Anolis sagrei: one gene and its partners. The protein of the gene in region 4 interacts with the protein of the main gene of each other region in a pairwise test. Links are inferred from orthologs where the notes say so. Each region holds a gene or a part of one and is shown on either strand. Other genes may lie near its edges.

Region 1 (7,212 bases), on a different chromosome or scaffold from region 4:
GTGGCGGACATCCATCCAGTCGGTGAAAACAAGACCTGGGGCTGACTGTAGCTCAGATCACGAACTTCTTATTGCTCAATTTAGAATAAAACTAAAGAGATCAGGGAAAATACACAGACCAGTTAGATATGATCTCACTAACATTCCTAGCGAATATACAGTGGAAGTGAAGAACAGATTTGAAGGGCTAGATTTAGTAAACAGAGTCCCAGAAGAACTATGGACAGAAGTCCGCGACATTGTTCAGGAGGCGGCAACAAAGTATGTCCCAAAGAAAAAGAAAACCAAGAAGGCAAAATGGTTGTCTGCTGAGACACTGGAAGTAGCCCAAGAAAGGAGGAAAGCAAAAGGAAACAGGGATAAGGGGAGATATGCCCAGTTAAATGCGCAATTCCAGAGGTTAGCCAGAAGAGACAAGGAACTATTTTTAAACAAGCAATGCATGGAAGTGGAAGAAGACAACAGAATAGGAAGGACAAGAGACCTCTTCCAGAAAATTAGAAACATTGGAGGTAAATTTCAGGCAAAAATTGGTATGATAAGAAACAAAGATGGCAGGGACCTAACAGAAGCTGAAGAGATCAAGAGAAGGTGGCGAGATTATACAGAAGATCTGTATAGGAAGGATAACAATATCGAGGATAGCTTTGACGGTGTGGAGAATGAATTAGAACCAGACATCCTGAGGAGTGAGGTTGAATGGGCCTTAAGAAGCATTGCTAACAACAAGGCAGCAGGAGACGACGGGATCCCAGCTGAACTGTTTAAAAACTTAAAAGATGATGCTGTCAAGGTGATGCATGCCATATGCCAGCAAATATGGAAAACACAAGAATGGCCATCAGACTGGAAAAAATCAACTTACATCCCCATACCAAAAAAGGGAAATGCGAAAGACTGCTCCAACTTCCGTACAGTGGCCCTTATTTCTCATGCCAGTAAGGTAATGCTCAAGATCCTGCAAGGAAGACTCCAGCAATACATGGAGCGAGAGTTGCCAGATGTTCAAGCTGGGTTTAGAAAAGGCAGAGGAACGAGAGACCAGATTGCCAATATCCGCTGGATAATGGAGAAAGGCAGGGAGTTTCAGAAAAACATCTACTTCTGCTTCATTGACTATTCTAAAGCCTTTGACTGTGTGGATCATAATAAATTGTGGCAAGTTCTTGGTGGGATGGGCATACCAAGCCACCTTGTCTCTCTCCTGAGGAATCTGTACAAGGACCAAGTCGCAACAGTAAGGACTGACCACGGAACAACAGACTGGTTCAAGATTGGGAAAGGCGTACGGCAAGGCTGCATACTCTCACCCAACCTTTTTAACTTGTATGCAGAACACATCATGCGATGTGCGGGGCTTGATGAATGCAAAGCTGGGGTGAAAATTGCTGGAAGAAACATTAACAACCTCAGATATGCAGATGACACCACTCTGATGGCCGAAAGCGAGGAGGAGCTGAGGAGCCTTCTAATCAAGGTGAAAGAAGAAAGCGCAAAAGCCGGGTTGCAGCTGAACGTCAAAAAAACCAAGATTATGGCAACAAGAATGATTGACAACTGGAAAATAGAGGGAGAAAATGTGGAGGCCGTGACAGACTTTGTATTTCTAGGCGCAAAGATTACTGCAGATGCAGACTGTGGCCAGGAAATCAGAAGACGCTTCCTTCTTGGGAGGAGAGCAATGTCCAGTCTCGATAAAATAGTAAAGAGTAGAGACATCAGACTGGCAACAAAGATCCGCCTAGTCCAAGCCATGGTATTCCCTGTAGTAACCTACGGATGTGAGAGCTGGACCATAGGGAAGGCTGAGCGAAGGAAGATCGATGCTTTTGAGCTGTGGTGCTGGAGGAAAGTGCTGAGAGTGCCTTGGACTGCGAGAAGATCCAACCAGTCCATCCTCCAGGAAATAAAGCCCGGCTGCTCACTGGAAGGAAGGATACTAGAGACAAAGTTGAAGTACTTTGGCCACATCATGAGGAGACAGCAAAGCCTAGAGAAGACAATTATGCTGGGGAAAGTGGAAGGCAAAAGGAAGAGGGGCCGACCTAGGGCAAGATGGATGGATGGCATCCTTGAAGTGACTGGACTGACCTTGAAGGAGCTGGGGGTGGTGACGGCCGACAGGGAGCTCTGGCGTGGGCTGGTCCACGAGGTCACGAAGAGTCGGAGACGACTGAACGAATGAACAACAACAACAACAAATGTACCAAGTTTGTATGAAACTTTGACTTTTATTTCTTGTGCTGGTCTAGGACCAAAATAAATAATTTGATTTGATTTGAGGTGGCCAATTCAACAGTCACACTTGCCTCCAACAGACAAGAGTTCTTTCTCCCACCCTGGACATTCCACAGATATATAAACCTCACTTACTTAGTTCCCAATAGAACTCACCACCTCTGAGGGTGTCTGCCATAGATGTGGGCAAAATATCAGGAGATAATTATTCTGGAACATGGCCATACAGCCCGGAAAACTCACAGCAACCCAGTGACTCCAGCCATGAAATCCTTTGACAACATATTATTATGGTTTTTTTTTTTAATTTTACTAGCTTTCCCCTGCCATGTGTTGCTGTGGCCCAGCCTGTGTCTATGTGCTTTTTTTGTGTATATATGTGTATATATTTGTGTATATGTGTATATACGTGTGTTTGCATATGCATTGTAATGTATTTTTATTTTTGGGCTTTTAAAGTTGCGTCCACTGTGTTTTTAGGAGTGATGGTCACTCATTGGCCTGAGAGGTGTCTTGTGTCCAAATTTGGTGTCAATTCGTCCAGTGGTTTTTGAGTTATGTTAATCCCACAAATGAACATTACATTTTTATTTATATAGAGTAGCCATCCCCTGCCACGCATTGCTGTGGCCCAGTCTGTGTATATGTGTTTTGTGTGTCTATGTATGTGTATATGTGGTTTTGCGCATGCGTTGTAATGGGTTTGGGGGGGGGGGTTAAGTCTCTTCCACTGTGTTTTCAGTATTTTTATGAATAACTAGCCATCCCTTGTCACACATTGCTGTGGCCCGGTTTGTGTATATATTTGTTTTGTGTATATATATATGCATATATGTGTGTATATATATATTTGTGTATATGTGTATATATGTGTGTTTGTGTATATATGTGGTTTTGCACATGCATTGTAATGGGTTTTTGGGGTTTCTATGTCTCTTCTGCTGTGTTTTTCTATGTTTTTATGAGTGATGGTCACTCGTTGGCCTGATAGGTGTATTGTGTCCAAATTTGTTGTCAATTTGTCCAGTGGTTTTTGAGTTATGTTAATCCCACAAACCAACGTTACATTTTTATTTATATAGAGTAGCCATCCCCTGCCATGCATTGCTGTGGCCCAGTCTGTGTATGTGTTTTGTGTGTCTATGTATGTGAATATATGTGGTTTTGTGCATGCATTTTAATGGGTTTTTTCTTTTGGCTTTTAAGTCTCTTCCACTGTGTTTTCAGTGTTTTTATGAATCACTATCCATCCCCTGTCACACACTGCTGTGGCCTGGTTTGTGTATATATTTGTTTTGTGTATATATATATGCATATATATGTGTGTGTGTATGTGTGTTTGTGTATATATGTGGTTTTGTGCATGCGTTGTAATGGTTTTTTTCTTTTGGCTTTTAAGTCTCTTCCACTGTGTTTTCAGTGTTTTTATGAATCACTATCCATCCCCTGTCACACACTGCTGTGGCCTGGTTTGTGTATATATTTGTTTTGTGTACATATATATATATATGCATATATGTGTGTGTGTATATGTGTGTTTGTGTATATATGTGGTTTTGCACATGCATTGTAATGAGGTTTTTTTTGGCTTTTTATGTCTCTTCTGCTGTGTTTTTCAGTGTTTTTATGAGTGATGGTCACTCGTTGGCCTGAGAGATGTATTGTGTCCAAATTTGTTGTCAATTCATCCAGTAGTTTTTGAGTTATGTCAATCCCACAAACGAACATTACATTTTTATTTATATAGATTTGTATCCTGCTTTTATCTTCTGTGATCCCCTGTGATTGTTCACTTTACAGATTTTCAGGCACAAAAGAACGTCTTCCTGATTGCTTTTAACACAACTTCCTATGAAAGGCATTTTCATCAAGGATTAAACAACCCCAGTGTGTTAAGGCTCCCCTCCCCTCTTTCTCTCTCCCGGCTTTCCCCGCTTTTGGAAAAAAGAGCCATAAATGAATCATTTCATTGCAACCTTGGGCAAATGGGTCTGAGGTGCTGGATTGGAAGTGAACCATGCAATTACATAAACATCGGAGCGGCCAGTCCGCCAGTGAGTGGAAAGACATGGATGTTAGAGGATTATCCAAACAGTAGAACACTTTTTCCATGTGTGTGTAAGAAAAAAGCCTGGCACACTTGGGCTGACTCCCCTCCCTGCCGCCAACACTTTGGAAGGCGAGTCAGGAGAAGCTCAAAGGGGAGATTCAGACTTTCAATTTGTGTTTGTGATGAAGGAGAAGCAATTCAGCAGTGGGGGCTTTGGTAAACTCACATCTCCTTTGCTCCTTGGCCTCTCCAGCAAGAGGAATGGCAGGCAGAGATGCTGCGCCGCCTGAACCATCCGGCCTAGAAAAACCAAACTAAGCAAAGAAAGAGAAGATTGTCTTGAGATGTTGCACTGAACTACGTGAAACTTTGGGCGGGCTGGACGTCTTTTTGCCTTTCAATACAAAACTTCAAAAACTTCCAAAAACCTGTGGAAATGTCGTAGTGGGATGTCGTAGCGGGATGCATAGCTGCCTGTAGCATCAAGCATTTGTTTTCCTTCATAACCAAGGCATAGCTATGAAACACAAAGCTATTTTGGCCTTCTCAAAGGTGGTAAGTACCTCTGCTGAATGTGACCTTGAAATGGCAAATGTCCAGTACAGTTTGTGCTGCTAACTGATATTGGTGCTCTGTCTGTTTGTTTTGAAAAATCCAGGTTTTTAAAGGTGAGAGCGAGAAGAAGGGAAAAATCTGCTACCACCATCTGTTATCATCTGTTTTGTGTGTACTTTGCTTTATTGTAATTATTTGGGCTTGGCCTCATGTTAGCTGCCCCGAGTCCCTTCGGGGAGATGGTGGCGGGGTATAAATAATATCTAATTGTTGTTATTGCCTTATGTTTTTGATTTGCTTTGAGTTGTATTTGTCATGCTGTTGTTGTGTTGAGGCCTTGGCCTTTGTAAGCCACATCGAGTCCTTCGGGAGATGCTAGCGGGGTACAAATAAAGTTTAATAATAATAATTAATAATAATAATAATACAATATTATTATTATATTACAATATAATAATAATTATTTATTTACATTATTTATTTATTTACTTTATTTGTATACCGCCCCTCTCAGCCTTCCGGCGACTTGAGGTAGTTTACAAGGCAAAATTCAATGCCACAAAAACATAGTACAATTTAAAAACATTAACAGCAATAAAATCAAAGAAAAAACAATAAGAACATGTCAGTAAATCATCAATATATTATTATTATTATTATTATTATTATTATTATTTTACTGACACAAAAACACAGTATGTCAAAGCAAATGAGATCTATATTCTGAATATTATTATTATTATTGACACAAAAGCACAGTATGTCACAGCATGCGAGATCTATATGCTGGATTTCGTATCACAAAATCACAAGTTGAACACTTCCCAAGGGTCTAGGAGTATTATTATTATTATTATTATTATTATTATTATTTGAAACACAACAAGATGAGTCCACAGCAGACAAGATCACTCTGCTGGCTGTTGTATTGGATCACACGTTGGACACTTCCCAAGTGTTTAGGACTCTGTGATGTATCGGCGAATAATGCGTGCAGGTCCAAGTAAGGTGGCCTTTTGCAGCTGGCAGATGGTAATTTTGTCATTGCCGATTGTGTTTAAGTGCAGATCAAGGTCTTTAGGCACTGCACCCAGTGTGCCGATCACCACTGCGACCACCTTGACTGGCTTGTGCCAGAGTCTTTGCAGTTCGATCTTTAAATCCTCATATGGTGTCAGCTTTTCCAGTTGTTTCTCTTCAATCCTGCTGTCGCCTGGCATAGCAAAATTAACAATCCATACTTAGTTTTTTAACACAATCGTGAGGTCAGAAGAATTCTGCTCCAAAACTCTGTCTGTCTGAATTCAGAAGTTCCAGAGTAGCTTGATGCATTATTATTATTATTATTATTATTATTATTATTATTATATCATGTAAGCCAGTGTTTCTCAACCTGAAGGTGGGGACCCCGGGGGGGGGGGGGGGTCGCGAGAGGGTGTCCGAGGGGTCGCCAAAGACCATCAGAAAACACAGTATTTTCTCTTGGTCATCTGGGTTACGTGTGGAAAGTTAGGACCAATTCTATTGTTGGTGGGGTTCAGAATGCTCTTTGATTGTAGGTGAACTATAAATCCCAGCAACTACAACTCCCAAATGCCAAGGTCTATTTCCCCCAAACTCCACTAGTGTTTACATTTAGGCATATTGAGTATTTGTGCTAAATTTGGTCCTGATCCATCATTGTTTGAGTCCACAGGCGTAGATGAACTACAACTCCCAAACTGAAGATCCATGCCCACCAAACCCTGCTAGTGTTTTCTGATGGCCATGGGAGTCCTGTGTGCCAAGATTGGTTCAGTTCCATCATTGGTGGAGATCAGAATGCTCTTTGATTGTAGGTGAACTGTAAATCCCAGCAAGTACAACTCTCAAATGATAAAACCAGTCCCTCCTCCCAACCCCATTAGTATTCAAATTTGAGCATATTGGGTATTTGTGCCAAGTTTGGTCCAGTGAATGAAAATACATCCTGCATATTTACATGACGATTCATAACAGCAGCAAAATTACAGTTGTGAAGTAGCAACAAAAATAATATTATGGTTGGGGGTCACCACAACATGAGGAACTGTATCAAGGGGTCGCGGCATTAGGAAGGTTGAGAACCACTGATGTAAGCGGAGGGAGATAACAACAAAACCAAAACAAAGAGGTTTGATTGAGGCCTTTAAGACAGGACCAGACAGATCAGGGGTCCTCAAACTAAGGCCCGGGGGCCAGATGTGGCCCTCCAAGGTCATTTACCCGGCCCTCGCTCAGGGTCAACCTAAGTCTGAAACGACCTGAAAGCACACAACAACAATCCTATCTCATCATCCAAAAGCAGACCTACACTTCCCACTGAAATACTAATAAGTTTATATTTGTTA
Region 2 (7,972 bases), on a different chromosome or scaffold from region 4:
GTGATTTAACCCACTACATCACCATGACCCTTCTGGGTCTGACATACATACAAATACAACTTAAGAACAAACCTACAGACCCTATCTTGGGGACTGTCTGTATTCCCTTCCTGAGGTTCTTGATTGGAACTAAGCCTCACCACAGCTAGTATAGCCTATTGTGAGGGATACTAGCAGTTCTAGTCTAATAAAATATAGGAGGTGCACATTTGATGTGTTTTTTTCATTAGAGATTTGAAGGGAAAGGTACACATTACTTGTTCCAAAAGCAGAGGTTTGTGAGTGCCTCCTACAAGACATTTGGAAGCCATCCCTTCTATGAAAGATACATGAATCCCTTCTTGAATCCAGATAGCCATATCCTCCTGGAAATTTAAGAGAAAAAGAGCAATGATGGAGCAAACACATAGTAAGCCACACTGCTCTAAGTACCTTATTCACAGTCATCCAGTTGTGAGCAACCACTGACATTCATCTAGAGAAAGAAAAACAAGATGGCTCCTTACCAACATTCAGCAATTCTGCTGCATAAAAGCTGGCATTCAAGGGGAGATATAAACAAGTGAGGTTATGAGCAAAATATGAAGGAAGTAAATTGCAATAGGATCTTAGGATATTCCTCTGAGTCTGGAAGAAGCAGACTCTGTAGGACAATGCTGAGCAAATATCCTTTGAGCAGCAGGACAGCATTTGCTTTTTGGAAATATACATCCTTGCAGATGATCTCTATAGAAATCATATTTAATGGATTGTCCGTGTTTTTAAATAAAAAGCATTTTATAAATAAACATGATCATCATCCTCATTCTAATTTTATTTATTTATTTATTTATTTCCCGTGTTTTGACTTTTGCTCATCATGGGAATGAAGCTTTAGAGCCCGAGAGTCTGTGATGGTCCCAGTGTTTCCTTGCTTTCATGGTGGAATTGTTACACCTAATATATACCAATTAAGAGGAACCCTTTCTCCAAAATGATTGGGCATTGAAAGCACATGTGCAGCTTTCATTCAGATTACCAATTATTTAAAAAATCAGCCTATATTGACGCTTTGCATTTTTTGCAGTGTTAAATTTGCATAATCACAATCCCCAAACTAGCAGTTTTGGGGCTCTAATTATATGGTTTATTGTGTTCTTTCCAGGATGGCATTCTGTAGCGCAGTAGCAGAGGTGCCGCCTACTTCTTTGTGTAGCACCAAATGGAGATATTTAAGCTTTGAAGGCTCTGAATACCGTCTAATCCAGCCTTCCTCAAACCTTCAGAGGTGCTGGGACTACAATTCCCATCCTTTCCAGCCAGCAGGAATGATTTATTTAATTTTTAAATATACACACACAAAACACATATACACAGACTGGGCCACAGCAACACGTGGCAGGGGACGCCTAGTATACAATAAATCAATAAGCATCTATAAACATAGCAAATAAAACTAATAGTCCAAAAATGATTTCTTAGTCATTTAGAATAATTGGTTTCCAGACTCAGGGCGGCTTACAAACGAAGGCACAAGTCGATGCCTAAATCAATAAACAAACAATACATAAAAGCATTTTAAACGATTAACAAGTTAAAAACATTAATACATAGTAAAATAGCAAAACAATCTCATGCTCAGTGTTCAGAGTCCGTTTATCCATTCTATTCCGTTCGCCCTTGTTTATCGTCCGATCTTTCCTTAGCTGCCAGAATATCCAAAAGCTTGGTCCCATATCCAGGTCTTCAATTTTTTTCTGAACGCCAAAAGGGAAGTCGCTGTTCTAATCTCCCCGGGGAGTGAGTTCCACAGGTGAGGGGCCACCACTGAGAAGGCCCTGCTCCTCGTCCCCGCCAACCTCACTTGTGATAGTGGCAGGGTCGAGAGCAGGGCCTCCCCAGACGATCTTAAATTTCGAGATGGGATGTAGAGGGAGATCCGTTCAGACAAATACACTGGGCCGGAACCGTATAGGGTTTTGTAGGTCAAAACCAGCACTTTGAATTGTATTCAGAATTGGATTGGCAGCCAGTGGAGCTGGCATAACAGAGTGGGACTAACATAAGATTTTGTCTAAGTCTTGGAAAGGCTGATGTAGCCCAGCCTAAAAATGTGAGAAAGTAAACTCCCAGCATTCCATTTCTGATGGATTATTTGGTGGAAAAATTATTTTTACAGGTATAACTTGCTATTAAATCACTATCACAAGACTAGAAATATACCGCAAAAACCTGTTTTAACTATGAGTTTTCCAAATAAATTAAGACCATGGAAAACAAAGAGAGAAGTTAGCTATGAATATCTGAAGCCTTGTGGATTACAGTGAGTGCTGACATACCCCGAAGGCACCGCATCTTCTCTGATCTTGGAAACTAAGCAAGGTCAGACCCGCTTAATACTTGGATGTGGGGTCACCAAGGAATACCTTTTGCCGCAGGCTATATTTTCAGACAAAGGCAACACCAAACCTCCTCTGACAGTTCTTGCCAAGGAAGCCCTATGATAAGGTCACCATAGGTTGGGGTCGACTTGAAGGCACAGAACAACAGAGTGCAATCGACTTGTAGTGAAACTTTACCAATGTATGTACCGATCTGATCAGAAATTCCATTCATCTCTATGAGGCTTATCACTGAGTAAGTGGATACACTGTCTCATTTAAATCAAGCATTGCTTTATCTTCCCATCGGGAAGGGCCTTTTCTCACTTGGGTTTCAAACACCATCATTGAACTGTACTGCTAAGGAGTTCACTTGGATACTGCTCACTGCGCCAAAGGGAACAACAAAACTGGGAATGGCTTTTAGTCCCCAAAACAAGAATGGACAACCTGTGGCTCTATTTTCCTCTGATGCTTCTAAACTGGTGGGACCACCTCCACATTTCCCTTCCTTTAGTCAAGGAGAGGAAGAAAATGTGATTTCTGCTGTTGATAGTGATGGATGAGCAAGATGCTAAGGTGAGGTTATGGCAGGTATGGGCAAACTTGGGCCCTCCAGGTGTTTTGGACTTCCCCACAATTCCTAATAGCCTACTGGCTGTTAGGAATTGTGGGAGTTGAAGTCCAAAACACCTGGAGGACCGAAGCTGGCCCATGTCTGGGTTATGCAATGCTCAGATAACTGCTGGATTGACTGAGTGGGCTGGTGCTCCCTGCTCAACCCACAAGCACCCACTGGCTGAGGAATGTGAATGTGCTGAGTTGTGTGTGTGTGTGTTGAGAATACGCATTTACCCATGCTCGGGCAATGAAATGTGCATGTAGGGAATGAGTGTCCATCCTCTGCCTGGAATACCATACAGACCCCAACTCTTTGTCTATAACTAAAAGAGACTGAGCATTTTTGGTGGCCACAGCTTGAGTCAAGCTTAATGAAGGTCCATTTCAGTTGTCCACGACTTGGCAGTAAACAGCATGTGTACTCAACTGTATCACCAGAGAGCTAACCATTGAGCAACCAGCCCTGAAGTCCCAAAGCCAACCTTAAACAGCATCCAACACAATATCATGAAAGGGGTGCTTTGAATGCAATTTTCTTTCTTCTTGGCAGGGGTTGGACCGGATGGCCCAAGAGGTCTCTTCCAACTCTATGATGTAGTTCCCAGTTGAGGAAGGGAGATATTAGGAAAACAGAAGGAAGAAGGGTATTGGGGTGAGAGTGGTGATCCAATTCCCCCCAGTCTTTCCTTGATATCCTAGTCCCCCAATCAATACATGTAGAATGGATTGAATTCCTGTTTGTGAGTAAACAAAGTATGTTGTCTTTTAAAGAAGATTTTTTTTTTGTCTCTGAGCACATATTTTAAACTAAGAGGTTTCAAAGAGGAGTATATGTTTTGGGCAACTGCAATTTCAAATTCAAATTCAAATAAACATTTTCAAACGCTGCTAGCTAAGTATTGGTTTTTTGTGGAGTGGCATGTCTGGCAGTTCAAAGACATGGTTCACCAGATTAACAGCCAAGTTACCTGTGTGCCATTACATGCTTGTGAACATCACTTATTCAAAGGGTTGAATTCTAAACAAGGTCATGCCTTTCCTTGACTAGTGGTTTCCAAATGGTGGTCGCCAGATGTTCATGGAGATTCACATTTGCCAAAAGGATATGACATCCTTTCCAAAAAGGTTATGAAACATTTTCAAAACTCTGCTGGCTAAGTATATGTTTTTTTGTGCAGTGGCATGTCTTTGTCCCTGGAAGTTCAAAGGCTTGGTTTATCAGTTTAACAGCCAAGTTACCTGTGTGCCATTACATGAATACTTGTGAACATCACTTATTCAAAGGGTTGAGTTCTAAACAAGGGCAAGCCTTTCCTTGACTAGTGGTTTTCGAAAGGTGGTCTCGAGGTGTTCATGGAGATTCACATTTGACAAAAGGATATGACATCATTTTTCCCTTCCAAAAAGGTTATGAATGCCATTTTCCCAAAAGTTTCAGGTTAAAAAAACCCCCGCTTTACTCATGAATTTGTTAACCAGTTAAAATTCATGAGTAAATAAGTTTTTTTAACCTGAAATATTTTTGGGGGGTGGTGGTGAAATCCTTATACCTCCCCCTTCTCCCGACTCCAGGCCTGCAGGAAAGGCTCCGCATCCTCCTAGCCATGGCCACCTCCTCCATCCTTTCCCCTGCTCGCGTGACATCACAATGAGTCCTCCTCAGCATCCCTTCCTTCCTTCCTTCCTTCCTTCCTTCCTTCCTTCCTTCCTTCCTTCCTTCCTTCCTTCCTTCCTTCCTTCCTTCCTTCCTTCCTTCCTTCCTTCCTTCCTTCCCTCCCTCCCTCCCTCCTTCCTTCCTTCCTTCCTTCCTGGCATCTCTCCTGATCTTTTCAAAGTCTGGGGGAAAGTCCTTCCAAGGGAGGGAGGGGGGAGGGGGCGTGGCGTTCTCTCCCTGGCCACGCCCCTTCCCTGCCCCGCGCGGGCAGATAGGCAGGCAGGCCCCGCCCCTCGCTCGCGCACTCGCTCGCTCCCCTCCCGTCTCCTCCTGCGCGCGCGGCCCCTCGGCGCCTCCCCGCCCGGCTTTGTTCCCATTGTGTGCCTGCCTGCCTGCCTGTTTTGCTTGCCTGCCTGCCTGCCTTTGCCAATCCATCCGCGGCCGGGAAGACGGAGAGCGGCCTTTTGCGGGGAGGCCTGTTCCTCCTGCAGCGGAGGGAAGGAGGCAGGGAGGGATGGAGGCCGCGCTGCTGCAGCCCCTGGCGGCCGAGGTGAAGCCCGGCGGGGCGGTGAGCGCCGAGCTGGAGGTGAAGAAGCTGCAGGAGCTGGTGCGCAAGCTGGAGAAGCAGAACGAGCAGCTCCGCAGCCGCGCCTCCGCCTCGCCCCCGGGCCCCGCCGCCGGATCCCCGCTCCAGCAGCTGCTCCTCTCCTCCCTCCAGGCCCAGCAGCAGCAGCAGCAGCAGCACCCGCTCCCCGCCAGCGCCAACGCCGCTTCGCCCCCGGCACTCAGCCCCAGCCCCAGCGGGGAGCCCTTCGTCTACTTCAAGCCCTCGCCCGGAGAAGGAGGAGGGGGAGGGGGAGGAAGGGCGTCCCCGGAGGGCCCCCTCCCCGCCGCCACCTTCCTGGACGAGGTGGAGGTGCTGGACCTGCGGGCGGAGCGCCAGGAGAGGGACGCCGAGACCTGGTGAGTGAGGAGGAAGGGACCCGGGTGGAGGCACCCCTCCCTCCCTCCCTCCCTGATTGGCAGGAGACCCCTTCGCTGCCCTTTGGAGCCCTCGAGGTCTGGGGGGGGGGGGGAGAGGCCAGCCCCGCACAGCCAAGCCCTGTGGTCTGGGAGGCGCCCTTCAGGGGTGGTGGTGGGGGCGGGGGGATAGTGCAGATTCTGAGGGGGTGGGCTGTGGAAGCAGAGGCTTCCCTCCCTCTCTTCCTTCTGTTCTCTTCCTCCCTTTCCTTTCTTCGCTTCCCTTCCTTCCCTTCCTTTCGTTCCCTTCCTTCCTCCCTTCCCTCCTTTCCTCTCTTCGCCTCCCTTCCTCCCTCTTCCTCACTTCCTTCCTCCCTTCCTTTCCCTTCCTGCTTTCCTTTTCTTCCTTCCCTCCCTTCCCTTTCCTTCCCCCCTTTCCTTCCTTCCCTCCCTCACTTCCTTCCCTTCCTCCGCTTCTCTTCCTCCCTCCCTCCATTTCCCTCCCTTCCTTCCTTTCCCTCCCTTCCGTATCCTTCCTTCCCTTTCCTTCCCTTCCCTCCCCCTTTCCTTCCTTTCCCTTCCTTCCGTATTCTTCCTTCCTCCCTGTCTTCCTTTCCTTTCTTCACTTCCCTTCCTCCCTCCCTTTCTTCGCTTCCCTCCCTCCCTTCCTTTCCTTCTCTCCCTTCTCTCCTTTCCCTCTCTTCCTTTTCCTTCCTTCCCCCCTCCCCCCCCCCTCTCTCTCTCTCTCGCAGTGCGCTCCCTTCCTTCCTTCCCTTCCTCCTCGTGGCGGGATTTCAGGACTGTGGCCAGCGACCCTTGGGCTGCTTGTTGCGCTCTGGAGGAGGAGGAGGAGGAGGAGGAGGAGGAGGAGGCGGCCTTGGCGGTGGCGGGGGTGATGGATGGCGCCGCAGCGAGGCCGTGCCTTCTTCCGCTGCGTGGGAAGCCAAGGGCCTTCCTGGGGGCGCCTTTCTTTTCCAGAGCCAAGGAGCACAAAGGGGACCCAGGCCTCAGACACTCAACAAAAGGGGGCCCCGCTTGGATTGCATGCCTCTCTCGCTCTCCCTGCCTTCCTCGCTACCCTCCTCCTCCTCCTCTCTCCTCCGCTTTCCGAAGTGTTCCCGCGTTTTCTCCCCCTTCAGCCTTCAGCCTGTCGTTCCTCTCAATGCGGGCGGAGTCTTGATTTGCCTCAGGAAAAGCGATTGAATCCGGGCCCTTTTTAAGGCTAATAGCTCCCCTCGGAGGGATGCATTGGGCAGGAGAGAAGGGAAAGGGGAGATTCTGGGCCAAGCGTGGGCAAACCTCGGCCCTCCAGGTGTTTTGGACTTCAACTCCCACCCTTCCTAACAGCCACAGACCCTTTCCTTTTCTTCTCCTTTTCTACTTAAGCGGCTGAGGGGGGAAAGGAAGGGGCCTCAGGCTGTTGTGGAAGTCCAAAGCACCCGGAGGAAGGGCAAATTTGCCCAGGCCTGGTCGCAATACCCAGCTGCCTATCTGCACCATGGCATATTGACTGACAATTGCCATCTCTCCAACCCTCTTGTCCCTTTAAAAAAGCAGCTGTCGTGATTGAAGTACAGCCCAGAGGAAGTGGTTTGGTTCTCCATTATGCTTTGTTTTTGCCTCCCCCGCTCTTGCCAGTCATTCCTCCTGTCTTCTGCCAATGAGACCTATTCTTAAAATTGACACAACACACCTTGTTTCTGACTGTGATATAGTTATAAATTGGGAGCTGCCTGTAAAAAAAAAATCAACGCATCCTAATAAAGAAGAGTGCTGATTTCATTTGGTTGTTTTTTTGAGATGAGGAAGCCATGTTTGATATTTATCTAAGGCTTCTTCTTCTTCTTTTTTTTAAGTGTTCCTAGTATGCCTCTTTTAAAAAAATAATACTAATTCATATTGTTTTTGTGTTGACAAAGGCTTTCATGGCTGGAATCACAAGTTGCTGTGAGTTTTCCAGGCTGTATAGCTATGTTCCAGAAGCATTCTCTCCTGATGTTTTGCTCACATCTATGGCAGGCATCCTCAGAGGTTGTGGGGCATGTTGGAAACTAGGGAAGTGGGGCTGATATAACTGTGGAATAGTGTCCAGGGTGGGAGAAAGAACTCTTGTCTCTTTGAAGCTGCAAGGCCATTCAATGCTAATCAAGGTGGCCAATTGCAGCATCCACACTTGCCTCAAGCAGACAAGAGTTTTCTCTCCCACTCTGGACATTCCACAGATATATAAACCCCACTTGCCTAGTTTCCAACAGACCTCACAACATCTGAGGATGCCTGCCGTATATATGGGCAAAATGTCAGGAGAGAATGCTCCCTGAACATGGCCATACTGCCCGGAAAACTCACAACCTGGATTATTGTTGTTTGCACATGG
Region 3 (7,433 bases), on a different chromosome or scaffold from region 4:
CAAAAACATAAAATTTCCAGGATGTTTTTAAAAAATTAAAAACAACTTTTAAGTAAGACCTCCAACGCCAATTGGCCAAAAAATGATCTTTCTTCTGCCCAAACTACTACTAGTAAAAAACAAAAAAACAAAAACAATATGTCACTTCATAGATTGTCAGTTCTTTGTAATAGAAAATGACTAATCCTGCCCATGATTTGGGAATGGAGAATTACACCAATTCCTATAATCACAAATATTTGTGAATATATAACTTTAGCCCTTAAACTCATTAAGTCCTAGCTCTTTAAAAGTTTTGGCATATTTCTTGGTTTTGGCTTAAAGGCTCACAATGCAATCCCTACACTGTTACAACTGTTTTCCAAAAAGAAAGAACTGGCGCCCCTTAGTGTTCAAATATTAAAACATTTACCTCATCCACTGAATTTGCATGGAACATTTTTTCAACATTCCAGAAAGTTTTCAGCATATGCAGTTCTTCCACCCAGGAGCCAAAATAAACAGGAAAAGCAAAAAAGATTTAAAGGGGCAGTTGAACTTTCCCTTCAGGCTACCAAGAAAAGAAGAGTGGAAGAAAAAAAATAAGGATGGAACAAAACCAGATATAACTGTTTTGCTAGATTAACTTCCAATCTTTGTTTTGGACTTTTGAAAATAATACAAGGCCTGTTCATTCAAAGACTTTCAGAGCTTCAGGGGCATTTTAAAGGAACAATGACCTCACACATTCCATTTAAAATAGCCCTTTGGTACAATAAACACACCACTCTTTTGATCTTGACAAAGTTGGTCAGTCTTCTTTCCCAAATCAAACCAATTGTTCAGGAACTTCAAAAATTCATTGTTCATGCCTGTGTTTAATCGATAAAAATTATGTTGTATTGCTTATTTTGTAATTCAGAAAGTATTCAAAAGAGTTCTTTCAAAGAGATCCCAACTAGTCAGTGTTATCCAAACAGAATGTGGTCTGGAAAAAAAATCAGTCAAGGGGCACCTCACAACTATTTGGTAAATATGTTTTCAGCGGAAATATGTCATGGGATCAGTCAAGTCTATGAAGAATTCTGTATAGAATTACTCTCTTCCAAAAAAAAAAATCTAAATACTCAGACTAGGATCAAAACTGAATGTACACAACCACCCACATCTACATGGTAAGACCAAAACTCAATGTGCACAACCTCCCACGTCTACATGATAAGTTCAGCCACAACGCCCTCAAACTGAGGTCTGAATTCCCAAAAAACGATTTGGATTGAAGACTTAAAACTCAACCTGGTCCAAGAGAACATAATCACCATGAAGTCTGGAGCTTCCATGTCCAACCTATTTAAACATAAAAAACTCCTGAAGCTTGTTAGTAGTACTCCACAAAAGTGGCCTCTTGCAACTAACTCCACAGGGTGGGAGGCAGGCGGTGGGGAATCGGATAGTTGGCTTGGGATGAGCAGTGAGGATTCAGCAACCTTTCTGCGTTAGCTTTTTGGCACCAGAAATCGAGAACTTTCGAGTGAAGAGGCTTCAGTGTAAAAACCGAATGGAGAAGTTGGGTCTGTTTACTCTCAAAAACTTCAACCACTTTTTAGTCCAAACTGCCCGGTAGGGACGAGAGCCGAGCCCTTTCCACTTCCTGCCACCCCCTTTTTCTCCCTTCCAAGCCAATCTGAAACCAAACAAACAAAGGACACCCCGAGATCCCTTTCTGGACGTTGCAAAACTCACTCGCTTAACCAACACTGCTGTAAATCACGCCACTCGGCCTACTACTACTACTACTACTTAGTTGCGTCCTATGTGGAGTCTCAAAACTCTCCCCAAACTATCTCTCCCCTCGGCCTTTTTATAAAAAGGGCTACCTTAAGTCTTTAAAACAAGAGAACCGCGCCGAAGGGCCGAAGAAAGCCTCGCCTTCACTCCCTCCCTCAAAGGCCAAAACTTCTCGCCGAGAGAGAGAGAGACTTCCCGCTTCGTCTCTTTGTTTACGGGGAAGGAGGCAAGGCCAAAAAAGAAAGAGAGCAAAGAGGACGCCATTGAAGGGGCCAAAAAGAGGAGACACATTTTTTTTCACCGTGTATCCTCAAGGCCTAAGTTTTGTTTTGATCCAAAATAAAGAAAAGAGCGTGGTTTAAATTCGTGTATTATGATTATTATGATTATTATTGTGGCGGTTGTTGTTTGTTTTTACCTTCGTCCAGCAGCCTCTCGAGGTGGTTGAATATCCCGCAGAAGTTGGGGAGGCTGCTCATGAGCTTCTTGTCGTTCATGAGCTGCATCAGGTAATCGGGGCTGGGCTTGGGCTTCTCCTTGGTTTCCATTTCCCCCACCATATTCCCAGCGCGGCCGGAGAGCGAGCCGGGCGCCCGCAAGCCACACTCGCACTCGCCAGGCGGGAGAGGCCTCTTCCCCCCTGGAAGAAAAAGGAGGCGGGAGGAGGAGGAGGGGGGAAGGAGGGAAGGGGAGGAGGAGGAGGAGGAGGGACCCGCGGCCAGGGAAAGCACGGCGGCGGCGGCGGCTGCTCCTGCTGCTGCTCCCGGCGAGGAAGAACCAGAACAAGGAGGCGACTCCGACACAAACGGCGACACCGCGGAGGGGGCTGGGCGACCGCCACCCAAGCCTGCTGCCGCCGCCTCCGCCTCCTCCTCCGCTTGGATAAGGATCCCCGGCCGCCGCTCCCGCCTTGGAAGCCTTTCCTCCTCGGTGTCGTGCCGCTTGCCCGCCTCACTCGCAGCAGCCGAGGCGCCCGCTCCTCCTCTTCCTCCTCCTCGGCGGCGGAGGCGGGCTTGTCTTCGCGAAGAGTCCCCGCCGCTGTTTGTAAGGCTGTTTGTAAGGCTGCTCCCGGCCACCGGCGCTGCTGCTGCCGCTGCTGCTCCTTCTTCCGCCGCTGTTGCTGCTGGTGTGGTTCTGCTTGTGCCGCCGCCTGCCTGCCTGCCTGCCTTCCCTCCCTCCCCTCCCTCCTCCCCTCTTCCCCTCTTCCCCTCCCTCCCTCCTCCTCCCCTCCGCTGGTGCCGTTTGCTGGTCGCTGGCGAGCCTCAGCCTTTCCGACCACTGCCACTGCCGCCGCCGCCTCCTTCTTCGTCTTGTTCCTCCTCCTCCTCCTTCAGTTCGCTGTGGAGTTCGCTTCAGTTCAGGCTGCGCTGCTGGCGGCGAGGGGAGGAGGAAAAGGAGGAGGAGGAGGGGGGGGAGCGCCGCCGAGGAGCAGGGGCGGGGCGGCCGTTAATCAGCCCTTGGCGGCGGCCCTTGGCGGACTCGGAGCCCTCGACTCCGCCCCGCCCCTACGGGGGGGGGGGAAGGAAAAAGACTTGGGGGCTCTCTCTGGCGCCGCCGAGAACGGGAAAGCGCTTCACTTGTGAGGAGAACCACGACAAGAAGGTGGTGGTGGCGACGGCGGCGGTGGTTCTTCTCCGCGCACGCGCACCAGGACAGCACACAGAAATTTCCTTTTTTCACATATATATCTATCTACGCTTGTGGTGGGTGTTAAGGAGCCGGATGGGCGGGCGCGCGCACACATATCCGAAAAGAACGTTGGTTTGAAAAAAGAAAAAAAAAGGGCTCGTGCCGCTATACCTCGGATATAGTACTACTCGCTACGACGCGCGAGACGGCGCCTGTTGATACGCGCCTGCGCGAGGGCGCGCGAAGGAATGAACATTTCCCCCCCACCACCACGTTCCTCTATCTCCCCCCCCCCGCAACGTCCTCGCGCGTGCCTCCCTCCCTTCCCCATTTTTATTTATTTATTTAGAAACTCCTCCGTTAACACACATACACACAAAAAAACTTCAACCAATCTTGCGTTTAAGGCGGGACCGCGTCACGTGTTGCCAAGCTCCTGAAAAAAAAGGGAGGAGGGAGGAAAAAGGAAAGAGTCCTAATCGTAGATCGTTTTTGGTTTTTTTACTATTAAAGCGCATGCGCTCAATAAAGTCTGTTGGCTTGGCTTTTTTTTTTTAGACGGGGGGCGCGCGCCTGCCTGCTTGCCTGCCCGCCCGCGCGCCTCCAACGGTCTCGCGCCCTTCCTCCTCTTGGAGGTGTCGGAGGAAAGGAATGGGAGGGGCGGGGCCGAAGCTCGCGCACGAGCGCCTGCGCAGTAGGTAGGGAGAAAGGCACGTTCAAGAGGGGGGGAGGGGGGTTTGCCTGGCGGAGGAGTCAGTCGGTTCTGTTCCTGGAAGGAAGGAAGGTGCTCTCGCCTCGCCTTCGGTCTTCCCTTCCGCTTCTGAGGGGAAGCCCCGACAAGTACCGCCGCCCGCCACGCGTTTCCCCTTCTTGGGCTCCCTTCCTCGCCTCACCACTCGACCCAGGCCCGCTCTCTCTTCCCTTCCGTTTGCTTAACGCTCTGAGGAGGAAGGGAGGGCGAGGAAAGCCGCGGCTGGCAAGGCGAGGAGGAGGCTTCGGCTGCCATTCTGGAGTCAACCCCGCCGAATACATCGAACGGAACTTCCTCGGGAGTAAAGGGGATTCCTCAACTCCTTGTGGTTCCCTCCTACGACACAAGCGCATCAGGGCAGGCAGATGTAGAAACCAGGAGCCAGATTTATGCCTTCGTTCACACGAAGCCTGATTCTGCACTGTGGAATGAGTGCACTTTGACACCACTTTACCGCCATGGGATCGTGGAGGGTTGTAGTTTTGGCAAGGCCTTGGCCCCGCCAAACAGTGTCGGCGCCTCACCGAACTACAACTCCCACGATTCCATAGCAGTGAACCCCGGCAGTTTAAAGTGGTATCAAGTTGGGTTATTGTGTATTTTTCTGGCTATGTGGCCATGTTCCAGAAGCATTCTCTCCTGACCTTTCGCCTGCATCTATGGCAGGTATCCTCACAGGTTGTCCTTAAATATTTATTTATTTATTTCGGGGGACTCAGGGCGGCTTACAAACAGGCACAATTTGATGCCTACACAATAATACAATAAACGTATAAAAACAGCAGTTAAACGGTTAAACAATTAAAACAACAATATATGTCACAGTCAATAGCCAATCTCAACCAACTCAGATTCCATACTTCGTTCCACATTGTCTGTTCCTATCCGCCGTCGCAGTCCTTTATTTATCTGCCAGAGTGCCCAAACGCCTGGTCCCACATCCATGTTTTTAATTTCTTTCTAAAGGAAAGGAGGGATGTCGCTGATCTAATTTCCTCGGGGAGTGAATTCCATAAGTGAGGGGCCACCACTGAGAAGACCCTGCTCCTCGTCCCCGCCAATCTCACTTGTGACAGGCGGAGCTGAGAACAGGGCCTCCCCAGAGGATCTCAAACTCCGAGGTGGGACATAGAGGGAGATGCGTTCGGACAGATACGCTGGGCCGGAACTGTATAGGGTTTTGTAGGTCAAAACCAGCACTTTGAATTGTGCTCGGAACTGGATCGGCAGCCAGTGGAGCTGACACAACAGGGGGGTGGTATGCTCCCTGTATGATGCTCCAGTGAGCAATCTGGCTGCCTCCTGCTGGACTAATTGAAGTTTCCGAACAGTCTTCAAAGGCAACCCCACATAGAGTGCATTGCAGTAATCTATCTGGGATGTAACAAGAGCATGGACCACCCTGGACATTCCACAGATATATAAACCCCACTTGCGAAGTTCCCAACATCCGTCATAACCTCTGAGGATACCTGCCATAAATGTGGGAAAAACATCAGGAAATAATGCTTCTGGAACATGGCCATACAGCCCAGAAAACTCACAACAACTCACAGTGATTCTGGCCATGAAAGCCTTCCACAATACATGGTGTCAGATTGTACTCACTCTGCAGTGTAGATGCACCCTGTGTGCGCGCCTTCAAGTCTCATCCACTTAGGGCAGTGGTTCTCAACCTGTAGGTCCTCAGATGTTTTGGCTTACAACGTCAAGAAATCCCAGCCAGTTTACCAGCTGTTAGGATTTCTGGGAGTTGAAGGCCAAAACATCTGAGGACCACTTAGGGAGACCACATACTTCAGAGGGGTGTCAAGCATGAAGGACCCGGGGTTGCTTTCCCAGTCTCTTGCTCTCTCAAACATAGTATTTGCTGGTGGCCTTCCATCCAAGTATGAGCCAGGGTTGATTTTGCTTAACTCCCAAGGCCACATCCTCTTCTATCTGGTGCCTTTACGGCAGGCATAGGCAAACTTGGGCCCTCCAGGTGTTTGGGTCTTGAACTTCCACCATTCATAACAGCCTCAGGCCCTTTCCTTTCCCTCCTGAGCTGCTTAAGCGGCTGAGGAGGAAAAGGGAAGGGCTTGCAACTATTAGGAATGGCGGGGGTTCAAAACTCCTGGAAGGAGGGCCCAAGTTTGGCCATGCCTGTTTTAGGGTGCTTAGCATGTATCTTTGCTGTAGAATTAATGCGATTCAATGCCCCTTGAACTTTGAAAGAGTCATGGGAGTTGCAGTTTTAGCCTTCTCTGCTAGAGTGCTTGTGCCTCAGAAAACTACAATTCTTCTGCCCCCATATTGAGCCATGGCAAATAAAGTGGGGTCAAAGTGTGTTAATCCTGCAGTGCAGCCTCAGGGCTGGATCTACACTGCCATATAATGTAGATTCAGAAAGCAGATTAAATCCATTCAATGGTATTGTATGAATCTATACTCCAGTATAATCTAGTTCAATGAAACTGCATTATATGGTGGTGTAGATCCAGCCCCGGGATCCCAGCAGGTCGCCCCTCTCTTGCCACATCATCTTCTATCTGGTGATATATATATATAATATGGAACCTCCAGTGGCGCAGTGGGTTAAACTGCTAAATTTGCTGTCCGAAAGGTTGGTGGCTAGAATCCTGGGAGTGGGATGAGCTCCTGCTGTTAGCTCCAGCTTCTACCAACCTAGCAGTTCGAAAACATGCAAATTTGAGTAGATCAGTAAGTACTGCTTTGGCGGATAGGTAATGGCGCTCCATGTAGTCATGCCGGCCACATGACCTTGGAGATGTCTATGGATAACGCCAGCTCTTTGGCTTAGAAATGGAGATGAGCACCATCCCCATAGTCGAACTCGACTAGACTTAATGTCAAGGGGAAACCTTTCCCTTTATACACACACATTATCACAATGAGCTGATCCTCAAACTGTCAGGATCCTAGGACTGTTGTGCTGCTTTTGCTCGTTTTAGCCCCCATCCCTCCTTTCTTCATCTCTGCCTGCATCCTTCTCTCTCTCTCTCTCCCTCCCCCTTGAATTCTTCCTTTGTCTTTCTTTCCGGCGCTTAAAAGCCCAGCGACAGCATCAGTGCCGGGGGTTCACTTTCAAATATGCTCTTGTTTGCACTATATCTGAGCTAGGAAAAACAGAAAATCTGTTCCGCCTTTCTTTGCCTTTTTTTTTTGTTTTGTTTTGTCAGAGGGGGATGCTTGGTCGCTGCAGAAACATGCGAAGCGGATTGCACTTGGCTGGCCCGACTCATTTCCTTTTCCCGTCATTGTGGAAATGTGTTATCTCTACCCA
Region 4 (8,093 bases):
TTGTGGGAGTTGAAGTCCAAAACATGGAGGACCGAAGTTTGCCCATGTGTGGTTATGGGACCAGGCCTTTGGGCACTCTGGCAATTAAATAAGATAATCAGGCGAGTAAGACCAACAGGATTGATGAAGTGGAACGGAAAACTAGAACTATGAGTTAGCGAACGCTGACCATGTAGGAGGAGGAATTGGGTTTGTATTAGTTTTATTGATTTTATGGTTATAATGCATGAATTGTTGTCAACTGTGAATTGATGTAATTTTGTGTGTGATTGTTTTGTGATGTAGGCATCAAATTGTGCCTTTGCTTTTGTAAGCCGCCCTAAGTCCCCTTCGGGGTGAAAAGGGCGGGGTAAAAGAACCCCGAAATAAATAAATAAATGCCTGGTGTAGACTCATATAATGCAGACTGAACTGCACTGAACTGGATTATATGAGTCTACACTATAATATAATCCAGTTCAATCTGCACAAAACTTGTGCAAAAAAAAGAGAGAAAGATTTGTCTTAAAGATGTGTCACAGGTTCCCCCTTCTTTTTGTACTCTAAGTCACTAATGTACTTTAACCCTTTTAAGCTATTCAAACTATTAATGTTATTGTCACTATAATAACTAAAATAGCAAGGTCATGTATCCCTGCAACCAAGGGAAAGCTGTTTAAACAAGTGCTAATGTTTAAAAAACATGACTTACTGGTACAGGAGTGAAGTTCCCTGGCCCGTGACTGCTAGGAAAGTGTCTGTAACCTGCTTGCAGGGGTAGGACAGGGCCATGCGTTGGGCCTCTGTAGCCAGGTTGGTTGATGGCAAATCCCAGAGGAAATGGATGATAAGGATACACCCCAGAGTATCCAGGGTACACTTTGGGAGGCTCTCTTTCCAGAAACTCTGGACACATTGCTGCACATTCCTGAGGCACAGTAGGATGGTCTAGAATAAAAACAAAATAGAATGTCTAGGTTGGATACACAGTGCTCATCAACTATTTTCTGCAAGGATGCATAGAAGATTACTATATAGTTTAGTTCCTCCAAAGTGTTGTGTTCCTAGAATACAGTTGGCATTCCACATGTGAGGGCTTAACTTTTGTGGATTTGATCAATATGTTTTCTGCAGGAATTTCTGAGGTGTCCAGTGCAACTCTACTTGATTAACATTTTCTCAGAGAATCTCTAAATCCAGTCAAAACTGACATAAAATTATCTTGGAGGGCTAGAGAGTCCTTGGAAGAGTATTTCTCTAAGCATTGCGGTGCCTCCAATGCAATTCCATGTTGAACTTAATCATACAATCTTGCTGGAGGACCAAGAGATTCTGTTCCCTTCTACACTGTCATATAATTCAGATTAGAAAAGCAGATAATCCACATTATCTGCTTTAAACTGGATTATATGTGTCTATACTCCCATATAATCAAATTCAAAGAAGATAATCTGGATTTATATGACATTATAGAAGAAGCCCAGATTTCAAAATTATATCCTTATGATTTAAGAAAAAAAAATACTACTCCTCAGCTAACTAAATTTAATATGTTTTAAGTTTTTATTAATATTTTTTTTAAAATCCTTACATCCAACAGCATTTGAAATCATTAAATTAATTATAACACTTGTGAAGAAATACAGATCGCTGTAGACTCTCACACCCCATCCACACTGCCATTATAATGCAAATTGAACTACATTATATGGTCATATAATCTAGTTTGATGCAGTCAAACTGCATTATATGATAATATACTGACCATGTAATGCAGTTCAATCTGCATTATGATGGCAGTGCAGAAAATCCCTCAGGTTCTGTCTAAACTGCCAAATAAAATCCACATTATCTGCTTTGAACTGGATTATATGGCAGTGTGGACTCATATAATGCACTTCAAAGCAGATAATGTGGATGATCTCCTTTGATAATTTGGATTATATGGCAGTGTAGATCCAGCCTGAGTCCACTTTCTCTGCTGTATATTTTATTGTACTGCTCAGACACAATGTAATTCTGATATTTTCCCCCCAAACACATCTACATTCTCCACTTTCAATGCTAGCTAGCTAGCTCTCTCTCTCTCTCTCTCTCTCTATCTATCTATCTCACTAATGATTAAATTCAAGTTCTAGGCTAAAGCCTGACTGCTGTCATTGCTTTCTTAATACTTCATAAGTACTGTTATAATAAGTTCTGCAGTGGCTTCCTATTTCATGTGCAGTGGCTTCCCATTTTATGTGCAATAGCTGCAAAATGCTCCTGCTGTGCATGGTGCTTCCTCTAAAATACAACATTATTCCGAGTCTAGATATGTTTTCTCACCAGTGTTATAGATCTCTTGTTAAATCTTGTTGCACAGAGCCAGCTGCAACCCATTTCACTTGTAATACAAAGCTTGCTGAAAAAATAGGACTTTGCAACAATGAAACATGGACAAATAGCCTCCAGAACCGAAGTTCTGCAGCTACAAAGTGCTCAAGCAGGATATGGAAGCTACCAACAAATGAATGAATAGGAATAACTTTTTTCAGGGAAAGAGCAATCCCCAACAGCAGAAAATGCCAGTTACCAACTTTCAGGACAACTGTATTCAAGTCCATGTAGGAAAGGTAAGCATTTGCAATGGAGAGAAACAATGCCAATGGATGTATTTATGGTTGCAGAAAAACTATAGATGGTGTACCTACCTAAATCTATGAAGGTTGGAGAGCTAGGTTTTGGTGGCATTTGGTCAGGCACCATCCTGGTGGGTTGGTCAGGTGCAGAGGTCACCTTAGCCTCTTCATGCCCAGCAACATGGGGCTCAGAGGTGTTTTTCCTGGAGCTCTTTTTACTTCCAGCTGCGGTCCCATCCATTTCATCATTGGGGCTGCAATGGACAGAGGGCAGTGCCTCCCTGGGCGGTGAATCTGGTCCTTGCCTCTTCAAGGCCTTCTGAGCCGCCATGATCTTCTGCCGTTCAGTGATCAGGGCACACTTCTCACAAGGGCAGTGCTTCCAGCGGCAGTAGCCGGCGTGACCTTTCACTGGCACCACAAAGCCATGGTTGCGACAGCGAGAGCATTTGGGGGCTCGGATCTGAGCTGCATCTGGAGACTCCATGAAGGCAGCTGACTATAATCATGCACCACTGCTGGAGTGAGGAAAACCCTGGGCAGAAATCTGCTCTTGCAGTTTGCAGAAAATGGTTACAATGTGGCAGTTAAAGCCTGGGGTTTAGAATAGACAAAGTTCTTCACACTGGAGAATGAAAGGAGAAAGAAAAGTGTGCCTGCTGACCATCCAAGTTCAGTAGTCCTTTCCAATAGGACTTGTATTTTGTAAAAAAAAATAAAAATTAAGAGTTCTCTATGTAGCAAGACTGTATTTTGAAAAGCATTGACACACTGTGTTCCCACTTCCAAGGCTTTGCAAGGTATTCCTGAACTTGAACATTTTGCTTTATTCCAGAAAGGTTGGTGTTTTGTGTTTTGGACTTCCTACAAAAGAACTCAAAAGAGGAAGAGCTTTGTAAAGAGGAAACTGCGGCCCTTTCTACACTGCCATACAATCCATATCAATACATATCAAAGCAGATAATACACATTATCTGCTTTGAATTGTATTATATGAGTCTACACTCATATAATATAATCCAGTTCAAAGCAGATAATCTGGATTTTATATGACAATATAGAAGGGGCCCGATCTAAGGAAATGAGTAACTCTGTGCTTCAACATGAATTTGAAGAAGGGAGGCATTATTGTAATTGTTTGTGGAGAGTATTCTTTGGGCACATCTATACTGCAGAATGAATGCAGTTTGACACCACTTTAGACCTCATCACAGTAGAGAATGAATCCACTTTAAACCTGGTTGCTAGCTCCTGCAGAATTCTGGGGTTTGTAGTTTAGGGAGGAGCCTTTAACAGTCTCACTAGTGTGATGAACTGCCATCCATGGCCAAAAGCAATGGCATCTTGAGATCTGTAGTTTGGTGATGTGCCAATAGTCTGTGGCAGGGAAAGATAAAGATTTTGTAAAACTACAGCTCCCATGCTTTTATTGCATTGAGCCATGGCAGTTAAACTGGTGGCAAACTGCTTTCATTCTATAGTGCAGACTGCAGGCAGGTAGCATAGTAGATGCCTATGCAGGTCCTCTCAAAATGTTTAGTTTGGATTAGACACATATGGTTAATTTAAACTTTGCCTACAGTATTTGCATAAATTCTAAATTGTAGGCAGTGATAAACTTAAAACATTTAACAAATGCTGAACTATATTAGGCTTCCTTATTACTTTCAGAATTTTTGATTCCTGGAATTTAATTTCAGAAAACATTATATGGATCTTGGTCTATTTCTCAGTATAAATTAGCACTTGTAACAATACAATTTCCATTATCACCTTCAGCATTTTAGGAGACAGAAGGTATGGGGTGATTTGTTGCAAAAGGCATCAATCATCCTTCATCTCTAGGGCAGGCTGAGACAGATTCCCCAGTACTTTTATTATTCTTAGATCAATTTCTAATATTACATATTTGCAAAAATAAGAAATGTTTGCATATCTTGATACAAGTGTATATCTTGTGTTCATAAAGTTAATAATATGAAAACAAATTTGAACGAATAATGAAGTATGTTGTTTACAGTAGATCAGGCAAATATGATATTTGAGTCAGTTTTCTGTTTTTGATAGAGTCTGGGTCTTGCTGAGTTCACGGTTTGACAATTTTGGCAACATGATTTAACATAATTCAATCATACATACTGAGGATTACCTGGGAAGGAAGCTCACAGGAGCACTGCAGCACACCCAAATACCTGGGAGTTACCCTGAACCATGTTCTGACCTACAAGAAGCACTGCTTGAACATCAAGCAACAAAAGCTAAGTGGCACGACCTGGAGATCACAACCAGATACAGGGAAGACATCTGCCCTTGGCTTTGCTACTCTGCTGCTGAGTACGCTTGCTCAGAGTGGAACATAACTCACCACGCTAAAACAGTGGATGTGGCTCTTAATGAGACATGCTGCATTATCACAGGATGTCTACACCCTACACCACTTGAGAAATTATACTGTTTAGACAGTATTGCACCACCTGACATCCGTCGGGAAGTAGCAGCCAATAATGAAAGGACCAAGGCAGTGACATCTCCGGCCTATCCTCTGTTTGGATATAAGTCAGCATGCCAATGCCTCAAATCAAGAAACAGTTTTCTAAGATCTACAGAGATACTTGCAGGAACACCTCAGCAAGCAAGAGTCCAAAAGTGGCAAGCTAAAACTCAGAACCTCAATCCATGGCTGATACCGAACGAGAGACTTCCTCCTGGGCACACAGAAGACTGGGCGACTTGGAAGGCGCTGAACAGACTGTGCCCTGGCACCACGAGATGCAGAGCCAACCTTAAGAATTGGGGCCACAAAGTGTAGTCCACGACATGTGAGTGTGAAGACGAGCAAACCACAGACCACCTACTACAATGTGGTCTGGGTTCTGCCACATGCAAAATGAAGGACCTTTTTATAGCAACACCAAGGCACTCCAAATGGCCAGCTACTGGTCAAAGGACATTTAATATAATACAAAGTTTTTAAACTTTGTGCTTTTAAAATATATTACAACTGTACCCTCGGTTCTCTTCTGATACGATAAATAAATAAACCATACATATAATATTAATTCAACTAATTTGTTTAATTACAAGAAAGAAATCCCCAAGTAGCTTGTAGTGGTTCTTTATAAAGCGCCACTGAATAGGCAAGGAATGTATTCAGTGACTTACAAAGCATGCCAGATGTTAATCTCTAAAATATATTCCTACAGTGTTTCAATGTTTTGCAAAATTAAAGAAAACTGAGAATGTGCCCTTTGTTCTTTAATTATTTCTATTTTCCCTTTTGTTCAGATCTCACAGGTGATTTTATCTCATTAGAGAAGATTCTTCCAAACAAGGAATAATGTTCCCTTATTTAAAATGCCTTCTTTTTCAAGTGATTAAAAAATCCTCTAGATTATTAATATTCCAGGAAAAAAATTATTGGAAAGAGAATAGTTTTAAAATCAAAATATGGTAACATACTGCATTAAAAACAACTAATAAAGCATGCCTTTACATAGATACAATATCACTGAATTTACAAAAATATTATAGTGTGCACAATAGTTTGTGAGCAGTCCAATGCTATGCATTGTATTCTGGGTTGTAACAACATATTATGTGAGTAGAAGATAGACTAACAGCCAGTGCAGTGTATGGTTTAAGAGTTGGACAACTGGAAACCAGGGTTTGAGGCCCCATCCATGTTAGAGCTACACTGCCATATAATCCAGTTTATAGCAGATAATCTGGATTTTATATGGTAGAGTAGATGGGGCCCCACACTGCTATATAACATTCAGATTGTCTGCTTTGAACTGGATTATATGGCAGTGTAGATCCAGCCTGAATCTTCACTTGGCCATGAAAACTCACCCTGGTGATCCACAATCTCTCAGCCCCCAAAATTCCATGATTGGGTCACTTTAGGGATGCTATAAATTAGAAACGACGTGAAGGCACAAGACAAGTTACAAGGACACACTTCCATTTTTGGTAGATCTTGTGCCCATGGAATTCCACTCGTTTGACAGCTTAAAAAATTTAAATGGTTTCTTATCAGCATTTAAATTTAACAAGTGTCAAGGAAATTTCTCACCGTGGTCACACTATAGATATAGACTCCCTTGGATTTTTCCAGTTACATCACTTTTCAGGCATACTTAGAATCTATCATCAGTCTACAGTCCACAAAGTATGAACTGGTTATTAACATTCTTGGAAAGAGTGGGGAGTGTTAATGAATAACAAAACAATTATGATAAAATAGAAGGAAGATTTTTACAAAATCTAGCATTAACACATACAATTCTTAAAAAATCTTCACATTATAGTGAAATTATAACAGTATAGTAAGCAAACTGGCATGATGCTACATTAACTTTCTTTAATCTAAAAGTCCAATATAGACATGAAACTTGCTGCATATTCTCTGTGGCATTCAGTGCTATCCAGAGATGTAGATTACCAATACATTAAATCTATCAGTTTGCAGGCCATGGCAAAGGCAACTAAAGGTGCATCTGTAGTTTGACACCACGTTAACCGCCATGGCTCAATGTTGTGGAATCATGGGAGCTGTTGTTTTACAAGATCTTTAGCCTTCTCTGCCAAAGAATGCTGGCTTCACACCTAAACACACCTCCCACGATTCCATACCATTGAACGATAGCAATCAAGTGATGTGAAATTGCATTAATTCTACAGTGTAGATGCACCCGTGGCTATCTGCTAGAAGTCTATATTTTGTCAGTTAGGCAGATCCATGTCTAAAACCATGCATGTGTACACAAAAAGAGAGTTTGGTTCATTACAATTCTTGTACTCGTCTTGCACTGCTATGAAACATGGGTGGGGAGCAGGAACAAATAGTATCTTGAAAAGCTTTTAATTGCCCAAATATAATCGTTAAGCACTTATTTGCCACAAAGCATTAAATGTAAAGGAATTTTCATCATTTTGGCTGGCCTTGACAATCAAGAGATAAGGCAGATATTTATATAGCTTTAATGTACTAATGAGAGCTCCACAACACACACACTCTTTTCATTTTATCTTTTGTGTGTGTAAACAATATTATGTTTCTATATTTAGTTTTTATTATAAGGTATAACAATAAAAACTATTATTAAAATTTTATTTATTTATTTATTTCATGCACTTTTACCCCGCCCTTCTCCCCCCAAGAGGGGACACAGGGCGGCCTCACATAAGCACCAAATGATGCTATAGAATCATAGGATCCTAGAGTTGGAAGAGACCTCATGGGCCATCCAGTCCAACCCCCTGTCAAGAAGCAGGAATATTGCATTCAAAGCACCCCTGACAGGTGACCATCCAGCCTCTGTTAAAAAGCTTCCAAAGAAGGAGCCTCCACCACACTCCGGGGCAGAGTTCCACTGCTGAACGGCTCTCAGTCAGGAAGTTCTTCCTCATGTTCAGATGGAATCTCCTTACTTGTAGTTTGAAGCAATTGTTCCACGTCCTAGTCTCCAGGGAAGCAGAAAACAAGCTTGC

The links.
Region 1: the proteins of DMRTB1 (region 4) and IL16 interact in a two-hybrid assay, tested with the Homo sapiens proteins (2 studies listed by BioGRID). The two-hybrid records come from large-scale screens. The link is inferred for Anolis sagrei from reciprocal best matches to the Homo sapiens genes DMRTB1 and IL16.
Region 2: the proteins of DMRTB1 (region 4) and SLAIN1 interact in a two-hybrid assay, tested with the Homo sapiens proteins (2 studies listed by BioGRID). The link is inferred for Anolis sagrei from reciprocal best matches to the Homo sapiens genes DMRTB1 and SLAIN1.
Region 3: the proteins of DMRTB1 (region 4) and QKI interact in a two-hybrid assay, tested with the Homo sapiens proteins (2 studies listed by BioGRID). The link is inferred for Anolis sagrei from reciprocal best matches to the Homo sapiens genes DMRTB1 and QKI.

What each region holds. Positions count from the first base shown.
Region 1 is NC_090029.1:33,443,128-33,450,339, reverse strand, and holds the start of IL16 (pro-interleukin-16), read left to right. Parts: upstream 1-4,208; 5' UTR 4,209-4,799; exon of another isoform or gene 4,800-4,843; intron 4,844-7,212. UniProt on the Homo sapiens protein: Interleukin-16 stimulates a migratory response in CD4+ lymphocytes, monocytes, and eosinophils. Primes CD4+ T-cells for IL-2 and IL-15 responsiveness. Also induces T-lymphocyte expression of interleukin 2 receptor. Ligand for CD4.
Region 2 is NC_090023.1:127,617,449-127,625,420, reverse strand, and holds the start of SLAIN1 (SLAIN motif-containing protein 1), read left to right. Parts: upstream 1-4,926; 5' UTR 4,927-5,149; coding exon 5,150-5,598; intron 5,599-7,972. UniProt on the Homo sapiens protein: Microtubule plus-end tracking protein that might be involved in the regulation of cytoplasmic microtubule dynamics, microtubule organization and microtubule elongation.
Region 3 is NC_090021.1:66,442,453-66,449,885, forward strand, and holds the start of QKI (KH domain-containing RNA-binding protein QKI), read right to left. Parts: upstream 3,012-7,433; 5' UTR 2,328-3,011; coding exon 2,186-2,327; intron 1-2,185. UniProt on the Homo sapiens protein: RNA reader protein, which recognizes and binds specific RNAs, thereby regulating RNA metabolic processes, such as pre-mRNA splicing, circular RNA (circRNA) formation, mRNA export, mRNA stability and/or translation.
Region 4 is NC_090024.1:172,926,020-172,934,112, forward strand, and holds the start of DMRTB1 (doublesex- and mab-3-related transcription factor B1), read right to left. Parts: upstream 3,088-8,093; coding exon 2,673-3,087; intron 928-2,672; coding exon 692-927; intron 1-691.